Linked DNA regions of Nothobranchius furzeri. The main gene of each other region encodes a partner of the protein of the gene in region 2 in a complex. Links are inferred from orthologs where the notes say so. Each region holds a gene or a part of one and is shown on either strand. Other genes may lie near its edges.

What was found. The genes of interacting proteins can lie anywhere in the genome.
Region 1: the proteins of acadm (region 2) and etfa are in contact, whole or in part, in a crystal structure (PDB 2A1T), measured with the Homo sapiens proteins. The link is inferred for Nothobranchius furzeri from reciprocal best matches to the Homo sapiens genes ACADM and ETFA. Residues at the interface, in NP_000007.1 of Homo sapiens: Pro163, Lys173, Pro211, Gln232, Arg235, Glu237, Val251, Glu253; in NP_000117.1 of Homo sapiens: Arg223, Lys226, Arg249, Asp253, Ala283, Ile284, Gln285, Glu304.

Annotation. Positions count from the first base shown.
Region 1 is NC_091744.1:68,358,926-68,366,289, reverse strand, and holds the start of etfa (electron transfer flavoprotein subunit alpha, mitochondrial), read left to right. Parts: upstream 1-2,457; 5' UTR 2,458-2,563; coding exon 2,564-2,602; intron 2,603-3,416; coding exon 3,417-3,566; intron 3,567-3,665; coding exon 3,666-3,747; intron 3,748-3,909; coding exon 3,910-3,992; intron 3,993-4,138; coding exon 4,139-4,238; intron 4,239-4,375; coding exon 4,376-4,486; intron 4,487-4,575; coding exon 4,576-4,677; intron 4,678-4,836; coding exon 4,837-4,905; intron 4,906-4,996; coding exon 4,997-5,079; intron 5,080-5,649; coding exon 5,650-5,715; intron 5,716-5,968; coding exon 5,969-6,049; intron 6,050-7,364. UniProt on the Homo sapiens protein: Heterodimeric electron transfer flavoprotein that accepts electrons from several mitochondrial dehydrogenases, including acyl-CoA dehydrogenases, glutaryl-CoA and sarcosine dehydrogenase.
Region 2 is NC_091751.1:41,389,666-41,397,205, forward strand, and holds the start of acadm (medium-chain specific acyl-CoA dehydrogenase, mitochondrial), read left to right. Parts: upstream 1-2,493; 5' UTR 2,494-2,626; coding exon 2,627-2,641; intron 2,642-3,878; coding exon 3,879-3,984; intron 3,985-4,088; coding exon 4,089-4,186; intron 4,187-6,799; coding exon 6,800-6,869; intron 6,870-7,005; coding exon 7,006-7,106; intron 7,107-7,369; coding exon 7,370-7,450; intron 7,451-7,540. Other genes in the region: rps8a (small ribosomal subunit protein eS8), read left to right, coding at 286-415, 1,195-1,304. UniProt on the Homo sapiens protein: Medium-chain specific acyl-CoA dehydrogenase is one of the acyl-CoA dehydrogenases that catalyze the first step of mitochondrial fatty acid beta-oxidation, an aerobic process breaking down fatty acids into acetyl-CoA and allowing the production of energy from fats.

The sequences.
Region 1 (7,364 bases), on a different chromosome or scaffold from region 2:
GATGTACTGGTCGTGTATCTGACTTCCACAGCCCACACACATTGCAATTCCCGACTTCTCTGCGGAGAAGAACCAAAGCATTAATGTAAGACATGCATGCGCTCTTTTAATCCTGATTAGATCCTTTTAAAACCACCTCCATACTGACGAGAGGACTGTTTAGCACAACAAAGCAGAATATTACTATTATTACTATTGTTGTGATGAATGAAAAAGCTATATCACTGTTTAATGTTTTAACAAGTATTTCTATGTACCTTTTACCCTTTTTAAAATATTGATTGTTTACAATTTGTTGCTTTTTTTGGGACAAAAAGTCGGCAGCGACAAATAAAAATCCGACAACAACTACCGAGAAAAGACAGAAACGCGTCTTACTTTTTGAATAATCCCCCATATCATCCAAAAAAGAAGTGTTGATCAGGATGTCCACCATGCAGGAGAAAGGTCGAGGGCTAATCTGACGGATGGAAGAGAGGAGCGCCAGAGGAGACCGTCCCGTCCCTGGCCGGATGATAAACTTGTATTCCTCCTGCGGGAGGTGGAGAGAAAACAAAGACCATCGACCAGTGACGTCTGCAAAAACCCGGACGTGTGTGGGTCCGGGGAGAGGGTACCATGTAAGTCTCCTCATGGCCCCCCTTGCTGCTCTTTTTATTGCTCTTTTTTGTTGTTGTTGTTCTTTTTGAGTTTTGAGTGCAAACATGGCTGCGTGTCCAAGCGGGACGGTGCATTTTTTTCTTACTAAACTTGCTGAATAATAACTTGCACTTCAACATTTTACTCCTCATCAGAATCTCCATATTTTATTTACAAAAATACTTTATTTGGTGGGTTTTAATCTCAGGTGGCATTAAATAAAATTAGGCAATACAACATTTGCACGCTATATTTTTATTTATAGCCTATGTAGGCAAACAAAACTTAACACATTTTTCGTTCTTTAATTTTAATATTTAATTTGAAACATTAATGTGGTTTGGTTTATGTGGGTATAACAAGTATTTAGTCGTACCGCTGTGGGGAGCCCTCTACTGGGGGAATTTTCGCACGCAGAATTTGAATATCAGTAGGATGCACAGTTGGGGAAATTGCACTGGAATTGGGCGTTATCAACAATTAAACGCTCTTTGTTGTTGTTTACCAACAAAAGGAACAAATTCTGTAACTCAAAGCCCATATTATTTTCCTTTTTTATTTGTCTTGAATTTTCTTTCAGACCATCTGTTCCTATAATTGTCACGTGTATGAAAGTCCATGAGGTAAATTGTCAAATTAAACTTCAAAAGTTTGTATTTTTTTTACATAAACGCAAACGATTTAATAAAAGTTACCACTTATAATAATAAAAATAATAATAATTATGATAATAATAATAATAATAATAATAATAATAATAATAATAATAATAATAATAAAAATCATCATTATTATTTAACTGATTACCAATAAAATAACATTCATGTGGGTAATGAACCCATTGCTGTTGTTGAAATTAAATAAACAAACAATAAGGGAATAAAATATGTTTATTCAAACACAATTTAAAAGTATTTCAGTTGTGCTTCATTCATCTCTTATTTTAATTAATTAACCCTCTGATGCATGAATTATGAGATCTTCAACCATGATTTTTTAAACAATTTTTTTCATTCATCTTTAGGTGTGAATGAAACAAATTTCAACAAATATTTTTGTAATATTTTGTTAATTTACTAATAATTTATTACATGTCCATCTCAGTGGACAGTGTGCATTCTGAACATGAAATATGTTGGCTTGACTTACTGAAGTCCAAATGGAGGGGCTCACATGCAATAAAGTCTTCAACAGCTGTGCTTAATAGCAAAAATAAAGAACTAACAATTTTGAGTACCTGTCCACTGTAGTGACCATTATGCATCAAAGGGTTAACACGTTATTCTCAAAATATTTACATATTTTGCTTATATGACCTCTTCATGTAATTTGTATTATTATATCAAAAGGTGTCAGAAATGAACTTGACAGACAAAACTCGTCGATAATTTATCAGCTAGTTTTCTGCTAAACTGAAACATATTTGAACCTATTTAGAGTTCCTGGTTCTTTGTCAACATTATTTATTTATAAAAATAATTAAGATGATCAAAAGGAAAAATAAATCCATAAAGAAAAATTACACCCGTAAGGATTTATAGTGAGAATGAATACTAAATTCAAAATAGCTCAAATAATTAACAGAATGTGGCCAAATAAAAACACATTAACAATCACAAGACATGATAAAAATTAGATTTACACAAAAACCCACGCGATAACACATACATGTAAACAAACGAGCAAATTGTTAAATAAAATGCAACAAAAACAGGTGGAAAAAGACTGTGTGTTGCTCTACAATTCTGCAAATTTCCCAGTTGGAAACATTTTTGCTTTTCTGTCAGATCAATGAGCAGAGCTGGACTTGGTTTGTAACTATCGCGAGATTTCGTTAAATACGTCAGAAGACCTTTGGCACAGATCGGGAGAAAGCGTCCTGCAAAAATCTTTCTGCTGCTGCAGCAAGAATAAAGAGACAAATATGAACAGAGTTTTGACCAGAACATCCTTGAAGAACTTGGTACGTACACGACTGGGCCCAAACAAGCTGGTTCTCAGTTAGCTGTAGCTTTTGGCGACAGACTTGTGGCATGTTTTTTGTAGCAGCTGCTAACTGTTAGCCTTTTTCATTCAGAGATAGGTCGTTCTCGTTTATTATAATTAGGGCAAATTTAAATAAACACTGCGTTCTTGTAATTTAACAATGAACACATTTCTGTTTTCGATATAAAAGTAAATGCAGACGTTTTTATCTCTGTGTGGCAGACAGTTGTTAGCACTGTTAGCCGTTATAAAACCTTGTGTTGCGAAACTGCTACATACAGGTGTCACCTATGTAATGCAATGATCTTACAGTTATGACAGTATTCCATCAAAACACGAGGTTATTAGTGTGTTTTTCTGGTGTTAGTATATTGAATAAAAGGTTCAGTTTGTTATACGTTTCTATAAAATTGTTCTTAAACGTAATTACATAATTTTATAGGCGTTTGATGTAACTGGCTTCATATAAGAGACTTAAATCTAACGCATGTATTATTTTATGTTCTATTCTGTTCTCCTGGCTTTATCTGAATGACTTTACCTGAAGACCATCACTAGACCAGGCTGGTATTTTCCTGTTTGGCTTTGACTCTAAGCTGATCCGGAGGTTCTTTGCACACTATCGTAATGCTGTATTTGCATTTTCCCTACACTAGATTGTGAGGTCTAAATGATGATGAGTGAATAAATAAACGAGTGACTAAATTAAAGCTAATATTTGTTCATTCATTAATTGGGTACAACACACTAATATTTAGCTGGTTCTGACTGAAATGTGTTTTTCCCAACAGACAGGCTTTGTCCAGAGGTTTCAGAGCACCTTGGTTGTTGCAGAACACAACAATGATAAGTTGACCCCCATTACACTCAATACCATCACTGCTGCCAGTAAGCTCGGGGGAGATGTGTCTTGTCTGGTTGCTGGAACAAACTGTGCAAAGGTAGGAACATCTTTTGTCAATTTCAATAATCCACACTTTGTTTTGGCTGAAAGTTGTATGATTTTACGCAGATACATTATTTTGTTTTTCTCCTTTCAGGTTGTGGAGCAGATCAGCAAAGTACAGGGTGTGAAGAAGATCCTGGTGGCCCAGCACGAGTCTTACAAAGGTGCTTTGCCAGGTAAGGTATTTATTTCACAGTAACTTCCCCCTCTTTTTTTATTTTCACATTTGCTTTACTTGACACGTTTACAGGTTAATAATGATGTTTATAACTAGCACCCCTGCTGACAAAGGTCAGTCATTAACCTGAATTTGTTTTTTACCTTTTTTTTTCTTTTAGAGGAGTTGACTCCACTCATCTTGGAAACACAAAAACAGTTCAGCTTCACTCACATCTGTGCCGGTGCATCAGCCTTCGGAAAGGTAAGTCACAGTTCCCCGAGTTTCATTTAACATATTCTGATCTATTAAAATGAGCAAACACAAATCTTACCATCTTTACTTCCTTTGACATCTGTTCTTACAGACATTTATGATCAACAGCCCAATATGTATTTTTTGTCTGATAGAACCTGCTTCCTAGAGTTGCTGCCAAGCTGGATGTTGCCCCAGTTTCAGATATTATTGAAATTAAATCTCCAGATACTTTTGTCAGGACCATTTATGCAGGTATGGCATGTTTTGTGCACAGTAGGTGCAGGACCTTTTCAGCATATATCCTGGTTCATGTATTTGTTTTTAAATATAAATATAATTTGAGTGCAGTCTTTAGTAAAACCGTAAGTTTTAGCCCTGTTTTGCTGCAGGAAATGCCCTCAGCACCGTGAAATGCAGTGAGCCAGTCAAGGTCTTCACCGTCAGAGGGACATCTTTTGAGGCAGCTCCAACAGAGGGAGGAAGCGCTACGTCAGAGGAAGGTAATACACACCTGTCCAGCTCTGAAATCAGAGGTGAAAATCAAAATCATGTTTTAAATATGTTAATCTTCCTGTTGTCTGACTTGCAGTGGCTGCTGCTCCCCCTGCTGGGGTTTCTGAGTGGCTCGAACAAAATTTGACCAAGAGTGACCGGCCAGAGCTGACGAGTGCAAAGGTTGTGGTGTCAGGAGGTATGAACTCCCTACCGAGATGTAAAAACCTGTGCTGAACTTTGAGAAATTGTCAAATGACATCATTTATTTGACTGTATTCCTAAAGTTTTACAATATCTTATTGTTGAATAAACAAAGATTAGCCATCCAAAATGGAAATTGCTTCTTTTATTTTAGGAAGAGGCTTGAAGAGTGGAGAAAACTTTAAGCTGCTTTATGACCTTGCTGACAAACTGAACGCTGCTGGTACTGTGTGGTCATTTTTTTTATCATTTATTATCCTTATGGGTACTTTTTACCTGTTTTTTTTTTATTCTAACACTCCTTTTTATTCCAGTTGGTGCATCCAGAGCTGCAGTGGATGCTGGCTTTGTCCCTAATGACATGCAGGTCGGGCAGACGGGCAAAATTGTGGCTCCAGTATGTGGATAAACCCATTTTTATGCAACAAATCACGATAAATGACAAATGATATAAATAAATATTAAAACCAAGTTAAGTTAATGTTTTAATTTGGGCTAACTACAGTTAGCCCGTTAGCCCTTAAACCGCATTTCAGTGTGATTCTGGAGACTGCTCCTTTAAAAAAAAAAAAAATAAAAGGTTAACTTGCCATCATGTGATTTATCCAGGATACTCCACTTGTGATTATCCACACATTAGATCTTGGGGAAAGTACATGATGGCACTTTTAGGGCCCTAAATGATTTAGCTGATCCATTAGAGCAGAATACAGCAGATGTCTGCCCAACCATACCAGACTGTCTGTTTTCTTTTAGTTTTTTTTCCCATTGTTATAATACATTTCTGTTCACACATTTCAAGTTTACCTCTCTGAAACATCAGGCTGTGCATTAAAGTTACACTGAATATTAGTGTTTTATTTTTTAATTATTATTATTATTTTTAATATTAGTTTTGGGTTGGATCAACCTTGTGGATCTAGAATAACCTTTAGTGTCTCTTGTTTTCTTTTTGTTTTGCTCGTAGGAACTTTATATAGCGGTTGGTATCTCCGGAGCCATCCAACACTTGGCTGGAATGAAAGACAGCAAGGTAAAGTCACTAGAGAAACGTAGATGGTGTTTTTTCATTGTCTTATTTTTTCTTTTGAAATTTAAAGTTACACCTTTTCATTTAGTTTAAAAATGAGCAAAGTTATTGCTAACATGCTCAGTTTAAAATTAGTAATAAAACACACCACCTGAAATGAAACAATCAGCTTTTGGTGAATTTTTACATGTAAACAGACTTTATTAATTGTAATATTTAGGTTTACAAACACATCTGATCTCTTTTCTTGCTTTAGACTATAGTTGCCATCAACAAGGACCCAGAGGCTCCTATTTTCCAGGTTGCTGACTACGGCCTGGTAGCTGATCTTTTCAAAGTAAGTGTCTTGGATTATTGTTGCAGTGGCAGTAAAATCTCATATGAGACTCTGAGGAAGGAGTTGCTGGACTCTCTCTGCATGTTTTCCAGGCTTTTAGCTGTGAATGACCGTAAGAATATATAACATTTGTTTCTTCTCTTATAAATTTTGCACGATGCCTTATTCCACCTCATGGAAATGTGCAGCTTCTGAATTATTAAGCTGTTGAATTAATCTAAGGAGGGTTCTGGCCGCAGCTTGCTGCTAAGACAGGAACACATTAGCATCTCTGGGGATATAAAAAACTGATCCAGAGTGAGATAAAAGTTGGCCTCAGTTTTGCTCTGTGCCTCTAGCTGCCAGGCCTCTTATACGCTCAGTTGCATTCTTGTGTCAAGTTGGTACTTGGGGATATTGAGCCAGGTGTACTGGCATGACTAACAGCGGAGTCCAGCACTGCCTGTGAAAGGCTAGTAGGTTATATTTTCATGTGTGTCCTGTCGGTCATATTTTATTCAGCCCATCGGTGGTGCCTGAGCAGCCCAGGTGTCCTGACAAACTCTGTAGGAGTGATTAGTAATAAGCTGGTGGCAGCAGAGTTGTGACCTGCTGGGTGAGATCCCCTTACATGTGATCACTCCTCAGATAACTGATTAAAATGAATGGGCTTTCTACCTTTTCCCAAATGGACAGGTGATACCCTGCACCGGCACGGGCAGCGACTGCCGGTTCTCTCCAGGAGTCGGGAGCAGAGGCATCTCATTTATTTTGCACTTTACAGAGGACTGCTAAATGTGTTTTTTCTAAAGAAGGAAAAACATTTTTTTGTCACTTGTTTATTTATAAACCAGTTGTGTCCAATCTGGATCTTGGTTGGTCCTTATTACCCTGATCATGCAAGTCGCTGCATAATAACCTCATTAATGCTCTGACATGTAAGTCATCCATGTATTTTTTATATATAACAGTAGAAAGAAGTGATATGATTCAGTCTTTACAAAAAATAATTAAGACCTAAGATTTAGGCCCATATATTACCTGAATAACTTGATTAATGGGTCATTTAAAAGTACACACATGGGCTGAAGGTGAGCTGTGCTGCTCAACTAAACCTAATATCAGGATTTTTGGATAAACAGTAAAACTTTATTACCTTTTTGTTACTTTAAAACTCACTTTGCTGTAATCAGATAAGCATCGATTCTGGTTTTGTGAGATCTAAGTTAGAGGAATGATCACAGCAGTTGGAGCTTCTGTGTGTATGACACACTGAGGAATGATGACACCTGTCTTACGTGATGGTGGTAAAACTCTTCCTGTGTTTTCACTCAAG
Region 2 (7,540 bases):
GCTAATTTATATGTGCCCTTCAAGTGAGTGGCTGTAGATTTACCTGGTTACTTAGTGATGTCATGTGAGAAGATGAGAAACATGAGGGCCTGCTGTCTTTCTATGATGATGAATGTTCAGTTCTGCTACTGAATGGAAGTGGTGATACATAAGACTCTGAGAAAGACTGTTGAGCCATTTAAATATGTGAATGTTAATATTGGTAATAAGGCATGTTTAAAATAGTTTTGGATTGAAGGGTTTATTTTATCGCATCCTCTAATAAGTTGGTGTCTATTTCTGCAGACTCCAGAAGAAGAGGAGATCCTCAATAAGAAGCGATCCAAAAAGACTCAGAAGAAGTACGACGAGCGAAAAAAGACTTCCAAAATCAGCACTCTCCTGGAAGAACAGTTCCTGCAGGGAAAACTGCTTGGTCAGTTTAACATTAGAATTATGGGCTCGACACACGGGAGGCGACAAACGACCGCGATCAGCAAAATTTGTCGCTTTTATTACCTGACGTACGGGAGGCGGCCAGCGGCAAATCCGTCTGCGCATTCTGTTCCATGATGAAATCGAAACTTCCGTTGTTTTGTTTGGCTGTGTCAGGTTGGAGGGAATTAAGGTTATTTAAGCGGATCAGAGTTAATAAAGCGATAGATATGTTTCACAAGGTGCTGTTATGTGAAAACTTACTTCTGATTTTAATATATAAAACAATAATAATCAACTTCTCCTTCATGTTTGCTCGGAGATGTACGGAGCATCCTGTCCGCTCATTGGTCAGTGAATGAAACCTCCGTTTATTGGTCCTCGTCCGAGCGACAGCGACGAAAAGTTGAAAATGTTTAAACTTTCTGGGATTGCGTCGCTTGTGCACGAGCGCAAAATTTCACACGCACGTTTTTCGCGTTTCGCTTGGTAGGAGGGAGACCCGCGATTATTGCTTTGTCGTGCATGTCTCATTGAAAATGAATGGAGGAGAGGCGATGTCGCCTCCCGTGTGTCGAGCCCATTAGTTTGCATGCTTTATTTCATTGTGCTTTATAAAATCCACCAAAAGTAAAATACAAACAAATTAAACAAAATCACTTCAGGAAGTAGTGGATCCACTGAAACTTGAAAGAGCAGAACATTTTGAAGTTTGTGTTTAAGTTACCAGATGTAGTAACTGGTTAATGAGCTCACCTGATTGTTCTTGATGTTTTACAGGTTGCATTGCTTCCAAACCTGGCCAGTGTGGCAGGGCAGACGGCTACATCCTGGAGGGCAAGGAGCTCGAGTTCTACTTGAGGAAAATAAAAGCAAAGAAAGGCAAATAAATGTCCAGCTGTTTGATATGCCAATAAAATTTATAAATGTCCCACACGACTGCTCCCAGAGTCCAGTTATTGAAAATAGGCATGTTGCTGCTGTTGTAGATGTAGTGTAAATTCTGTATTTCAGGGTTTAAGATTAAAAATGATGAGCAATTTATCCCAATTTATTTCTCAAAAAATAAATCCTTACACGTTTATGATTGAACATTTTAAAGATGACCACAGTTAAAAACATTGGTTATACCCCATGGGGAGAAAGATTTGTTAAAATTGAAATCGCCATCTGCTTGTAGATGAGCTGCTCTGCAGCACAGTTGTCTTGCTGCCCTGCAGTGTTGACATTTCCATGGTTGACAAGGTGGCTAAACTGTAAACACAAATTAGTTTGTAAGGGCCTTTGACACGTTGGAATAATTAGACTTAATCAAAGTTTGGTTTTTCTTGTAATTTTATTTTCAGCCATTAAATTTGTTTTATGGTTTGTAATGATTTGGGTCTTGGTGTATATCATTTCCTAATGTTCACCAATAACGTTTTTAGGTAGTTCACGTATTTTATACTGTTTTATAGACTTAAATTGATGAGTTTGGGTTAGGGGTTTGCAGGGGTGTCATTTTTGCGATTTAAATCCGGCCCGCGAGATGATTGTGTAAATCTATTTTCTGACTACGATGTAGTCTGAAAATAAGCTTTCATTTTTCAATTAAACTGCTGGTGAAAGCTAAAAGATATCAGGTATCAGGAGTCAGACATGCATGAAACTGATATAGCCATATGATCTGTGAATCAGTTATTTGAATTACTGAGGAATAGTCTGGGTTTTTTGTTTTGTATTTCACATTTTCAAATACGCTTCATGTGTTTTATTAATATTGATGTTGTGCTTAAACTATTTTAAATACAATGTCCTCAGGCTCCAGCTTTATTTAATGTTGATCGTATTAAAACAAAGAAAACAATCTAAAGCAGTTTTTAATTTATATATACTTTAATTTTACTGGTTTGGCCCACTTGGGACTAGATTTTCCTCATTTTGGCTCCTGAGCAAAACTGAGTTTGACACCCCTGATCTAAAGTTTCAAGTCTTGATCTGTGGTGTAACCGGAAGTTCCCTTTGCTGTTCAACTGTTGACTCCGTCATGTTCACTCAGGAGAATAAACAGCAGAGGTGAGTCTCGTTAGATAACTGGGACAAAAGTCACAGTGCGGGTGCGGAGAAATAACACGTGACCATTTCCGCTGCTCTGATTGGTTGTGATGATCACATTGCTGTAGAGCAGACGTAGCCATCAGTTTATGCTACAAGCTTCATCTGTGAGGTGACAATGCTTCTCAATAAGGTACATGACTCCGACTTTAAGGATAATTTAGCATGATCTTGTTATTGTACTTGCTTGTAACTGCCGTTCAGAACAGAAATTCTTATTTTTCCATTCAAATCCGGTGAACTTCAGGGGTTACGTCACAAGCTAGCTAGTTAGCAAAATGCTCCAAAAATCTGAATACATAACTTTTACCAAGGTCATAACTTCTAAGTATTTGGCTTTTCCCTCGTCCTTTAGGACACTTGTGCGTTTATATAAAATTACACACATGTTATGGACTTGTGTCTATTTTTTGCCAGTCTTAACGTCTCTGAAGTTGGTTTGTTTTTAATCATTTATTCAGTGGATCGTTTTTTAATCATGAACGTAAACAGAAAATCTGCGTCTTCACAAGCAACAGCTAGTAATGTTTGCGTGTTTGAATGAAAAGCTGCAAATCTGACGAGTTCCAATTTGATGAGCATGACATGAAAAACCACATTAGCTTTTTCTAGTCAGGTGGTCTTCTCTTGAAAGGACCCTGAACAGTAGAGCACCCGTTCTCTGATCTTTGTTCTGCCTTTTTATTATTTGAAACTAAGCTATTGAAGCTCCTTGAGCTTAACCAGCTCATTGCTTTGCCCAAAGGTTCACGTCTAAACGCTTCATTCAATGTAACACCTGCTCATTACAGCCAAGTCATTATAGTAAAACATAATATAGACGTTATAGTGTGTAACTCCACTAAACTATGTTTAATGATTCAGCTGTTTTTTTTTATATTTCTAATTCAGATTTCAATCTGTTATCTCTTTGAATGTCATTTGTCTTAATATCAGACTTTAAACAGATTTAATGTTGGAAGCAAGAAGCTTGTTTGTTTACAGATGTTTTATGTTAATAGGTGGTTAATATAATTTAGTAACAGGACTTTTTGAGTTCATATGGGAACTCCTATTGATGATGACCTCCCCTGGGATTTTGGGGGACTTAATCACCATTAATAATACTACCACTCAAATACTACCACTTACAACTACAATTCTTCCACTGTGTGTTTTTAATATTCTCTGGCCAAGTAAAATTTGCAGTCACACTTTGCTGTCCTGGTCCATTTTCCATGAGTTGATGTCTTTAGATGTGATTGTTTTTTTATTTAGTTTTGTGCTTATATTATCTGATCAAATACACCAGCTAGTAGTTTCTTTTGTTTGTTTTTTGAAAATTTTCAACTTTAAAGTGTGAAAACAACTTCAGTTTTGATCTTGCACAGGTCTTCAGAGCCAGTCTTCAGTCTGGGATTCGTCTGCAGAGCTCTGGCGTGACTGCAGCCAAAGCTGCAGCAGCTGGCCATGCAGGAGCACCTGGCTTTTCTTTTGGTTAGTGGGGTACAGTGTGTTTTTTAAATCACAGTCCTGTGGGAAGAAATTCTGTCCCTAAAAGTCTTTTCACTGTGGAGAAATAATTTTCTCCTATTCTGTAGAACTGACGGATCAGCAGAAGGAGTTCCAGCAGCTGGCGAGGAGGTTTGCTCGAGAAGAGATGATCCCTGTTGCAGCTGCTTATGACAGGAGTGGGGAAGTAAGAGCAGCAAACATGGGGCTAAAATGTTCATGTCCAATAAATATCACACTACTTTTAACATCAGAGTAGCAAGAGTCATGCAAAAGGTTCGTCACCTTTTAGGCCTTTGAGTTGTGTATTAGTTTAAACCTGTCGTTCCATCCTGAGAGCAACTGCCCTGCATGTTTTAGATTACCTAGACTTATGGGGTGTTTAAGGGGTTTCTGAAGAACTTGTGGACATGCTGCTTAGGTCATTTAGCTGTTAAATTGTGATGGAGCAGAAAAAATAACACTGACTCGACACTAGGGATGTGTATTGGTGAAATTAGGGTGATACGATACGTATCATGATAAAAGGGAGACGATGCAATATATCACAATATATTACAATACATTCAGACAATTGTAGCGCTTTTTTTAGACTGAATTTAATATAGAATTCAATTAACAGTCCAAACTGGTGTTTAACATGAGGTATCTGAACCATGTTACAGGGATTTACGCCGGGGACACACTGGCCGCGGAAGCGCCGCGAAAATGGGACCGCCTTCATTCGGCGCCCTTGTTAAGCTATTCTATAGACCACATGGGCCGCCGAAGCGCCGCGAATTGCCTCGCGCCGGCGCTCAAGGCCGCGCCGTGCAGCGATCATTTCGGCGTTGGCTCTATTTTTTTCGCGAGCCGCGGGTGAATCGCGTCAATTCTGGCATGATTATTTACGTCCCATTTCGGAAGAAACTGCTAGGATACAGCGTGATACGTGATCCAGAATTGGAGCGGGTTCCAAGAGATTCAACTGGCAGAAACAACTCATACCATAGGTTCACACACACACACACACACACACACACACACACACACACACACACACACACACACACACACACACACACACACACACACTCAAACGTAGAGGAAAAGAGCTGAGAAAAGGCAGAGAGGAAATGGAGGACACCAAGTGTTTAAAAGAAAAACTACAGCTGAGCCGAGGCGCGCCTCGACTGGGGCGCGCCTGATCTGAACTGAGGAGCGGCGATCAGCGGCCGAATTTCGTGAGCGATTCGCTTCTCGGCGCTTCCGCGGCCGGTGTGTCCCCGGCGTTACATTTCAATGGTGGAAACAAAACCAACTGCACACTGCTGCCAACTAGCGGTTGATGTTTGAATTGCACACAAAAAAAAGAAAATACACAAATGTTTTAATGTAAATTCTTCCCAAAATTAGATATGCGGCTTTTGAATATTGATATAATATTGCTAGAAAATATATCACGATATATTGACAACAATGAAGCAAAGAAACAGATCTTTGAGTTTGTTAGTAATTTTATTTATTAGGTGCATCTAACCTGTTCTATTTTTCTCTGAAATGAGATCAAATCAGTGCTTCTATGGGTTGTATCCTCTCTGCACTAGAAAAATTTACTTTACTATAATGTTCACTGTAATACATCTTGAAATCAAAGATATTGGTCAATAATGCCAAATTTGTGTTTCAGTCATTTTTATACTGGCTTAAAAATAATTCATTAAGTCTACCAAGCAGGGGTGAAGAATGTTTTCAATAGGGCCAGCCCAGTAATGATCTTGGACCAAAATAAAGGGGGCAGAAAGTCAAATAAAGGGGGGCAGAAGATGTTTTTCCAGACGCCAAGAAAAATTAAATACCAAATCCCCCCTGCAAAGTGTGTCACTGAGAGTTTAAAACAAAAATTATTTTTGTGCAAATATTGGTGTACTCACCTTTAATACTAGTTATTAAAATGCAGCAGTTGATGGACTGGTGCTGATCAAAGTGGAGTGCATCAAATAAAACAATATTAACATAAAGGTGAAACGTGTCATCATAATGATTTATCCTTGTCTAAATAATATTCTTACTGATGAAATCAGAAAATGTATAAACAAGTAGAAATTACATTTAAGTAATAAGTAATTTTCATAACAACTGCACTAGTAGGACTTTAGCATGAAGGTGTCTCCATCCTTCAGTGCTAACCCTGACCAGCTTTCAACAGTTAAACCTTTTTGTCTTTTTACAGAAACTCAAAAAAGGCTTTTAGGCTAATTAAATTAAAGGTGTGATTCCCTGAAAAAAAAAACATTTTATTGATTATTTCTGATAATGAGTCTCTGAGTTTTTCATGCAAACTGAACATGAAAATAGTCTCCTACACCTATCTCCTGCATTAGCATCTGATAGAAAGCAGACGGTGAAACTCTAGGATAGAAAATCCTGACAGATCTATGTCACGCTGTCACTTAACATTCATGGACTCACCCATCTTGACTCACAATGGTGAAGGCTGTTGTTTGTTTAGCATCCAGGAAACAGCAGAGAACATCTCGACTAGTAGACGCTAACTGTTAGCATTAGCAACTCCACCACACAGCAAAACTCCTTCAGGCTTGTGTTTTTTATGGAGGTAAAACATCAACATTGCAAATCAATAGTAGAGTAAATTTTTCTAAGCAAAATCCCTAAAAAGGAACAATAGATATGTCAGGGATTCAAACCCTTTATAGAATGTAATCGTGCCTTTTAGGTGGTGCTAGATCCAGTCCTGCTGCTGTGTGTTTCAGCCATGACGGTTATCTCTAATGAGAAACTTTAAAATGCTTTTTTACAGTATCCATTCCCCATCATTAAGAAGGCATGGGAGCTCGGCCTGGTGAACGGTCACATCCCACAGGAATACGGTGCGCTTCTTGTGCTTTTTAAACAACACACGCTGTCTTTTCTTTATTTTTATGCATCTTGTTTGTGGATAACTGTTTCTGACGAGCTGGCGGATTAACGTCTGACCCACTGCTGCACCTGCCCTTCTTGTCTCAGGTGGATTGGGTTTGTCGATCTTCGACAGCTGCCTCATCACAGAGGAGTTGGCTTACGCCTGCACAGGAATGCAAACCGCCATCGAGGCCAATTCTCTGGGAGTAAGTCTCACAGCAGTTAACACACGTGAGCGTGGCCACAGATTTCTGGTGGCACAATAAACCTTTGTCTCTAACTCGGATCAATAAAACGAAGCTTTGTCTGGAAATGTTAGTATTATCCCACAAAACCTTTGTTTAGATGTAGTTTCCAGGGCCGGTTTTGCTGTTGAATCTATTTCTGCTCTAGTTTGATGTACCTCCCTAATGAGTGATGAATGTTATAGCTCCGTTAGAATGAACTTCATACTGTTTCTGCCACGCAGCAAATGCCTGTTATCCTGGCTGGCAGCGATGCACAAAAGAAGAAATATCTGGGCAGGATGACGGAGGAGCCGCTCATGTGTGTAAGTGTGTCCTTCAGCGTTTTCTGCTTCTCTAGTTTTCAGACGGTAGTACGAGCCACCGTGGTCGCTGGTCACAGGATGTTCTTCATG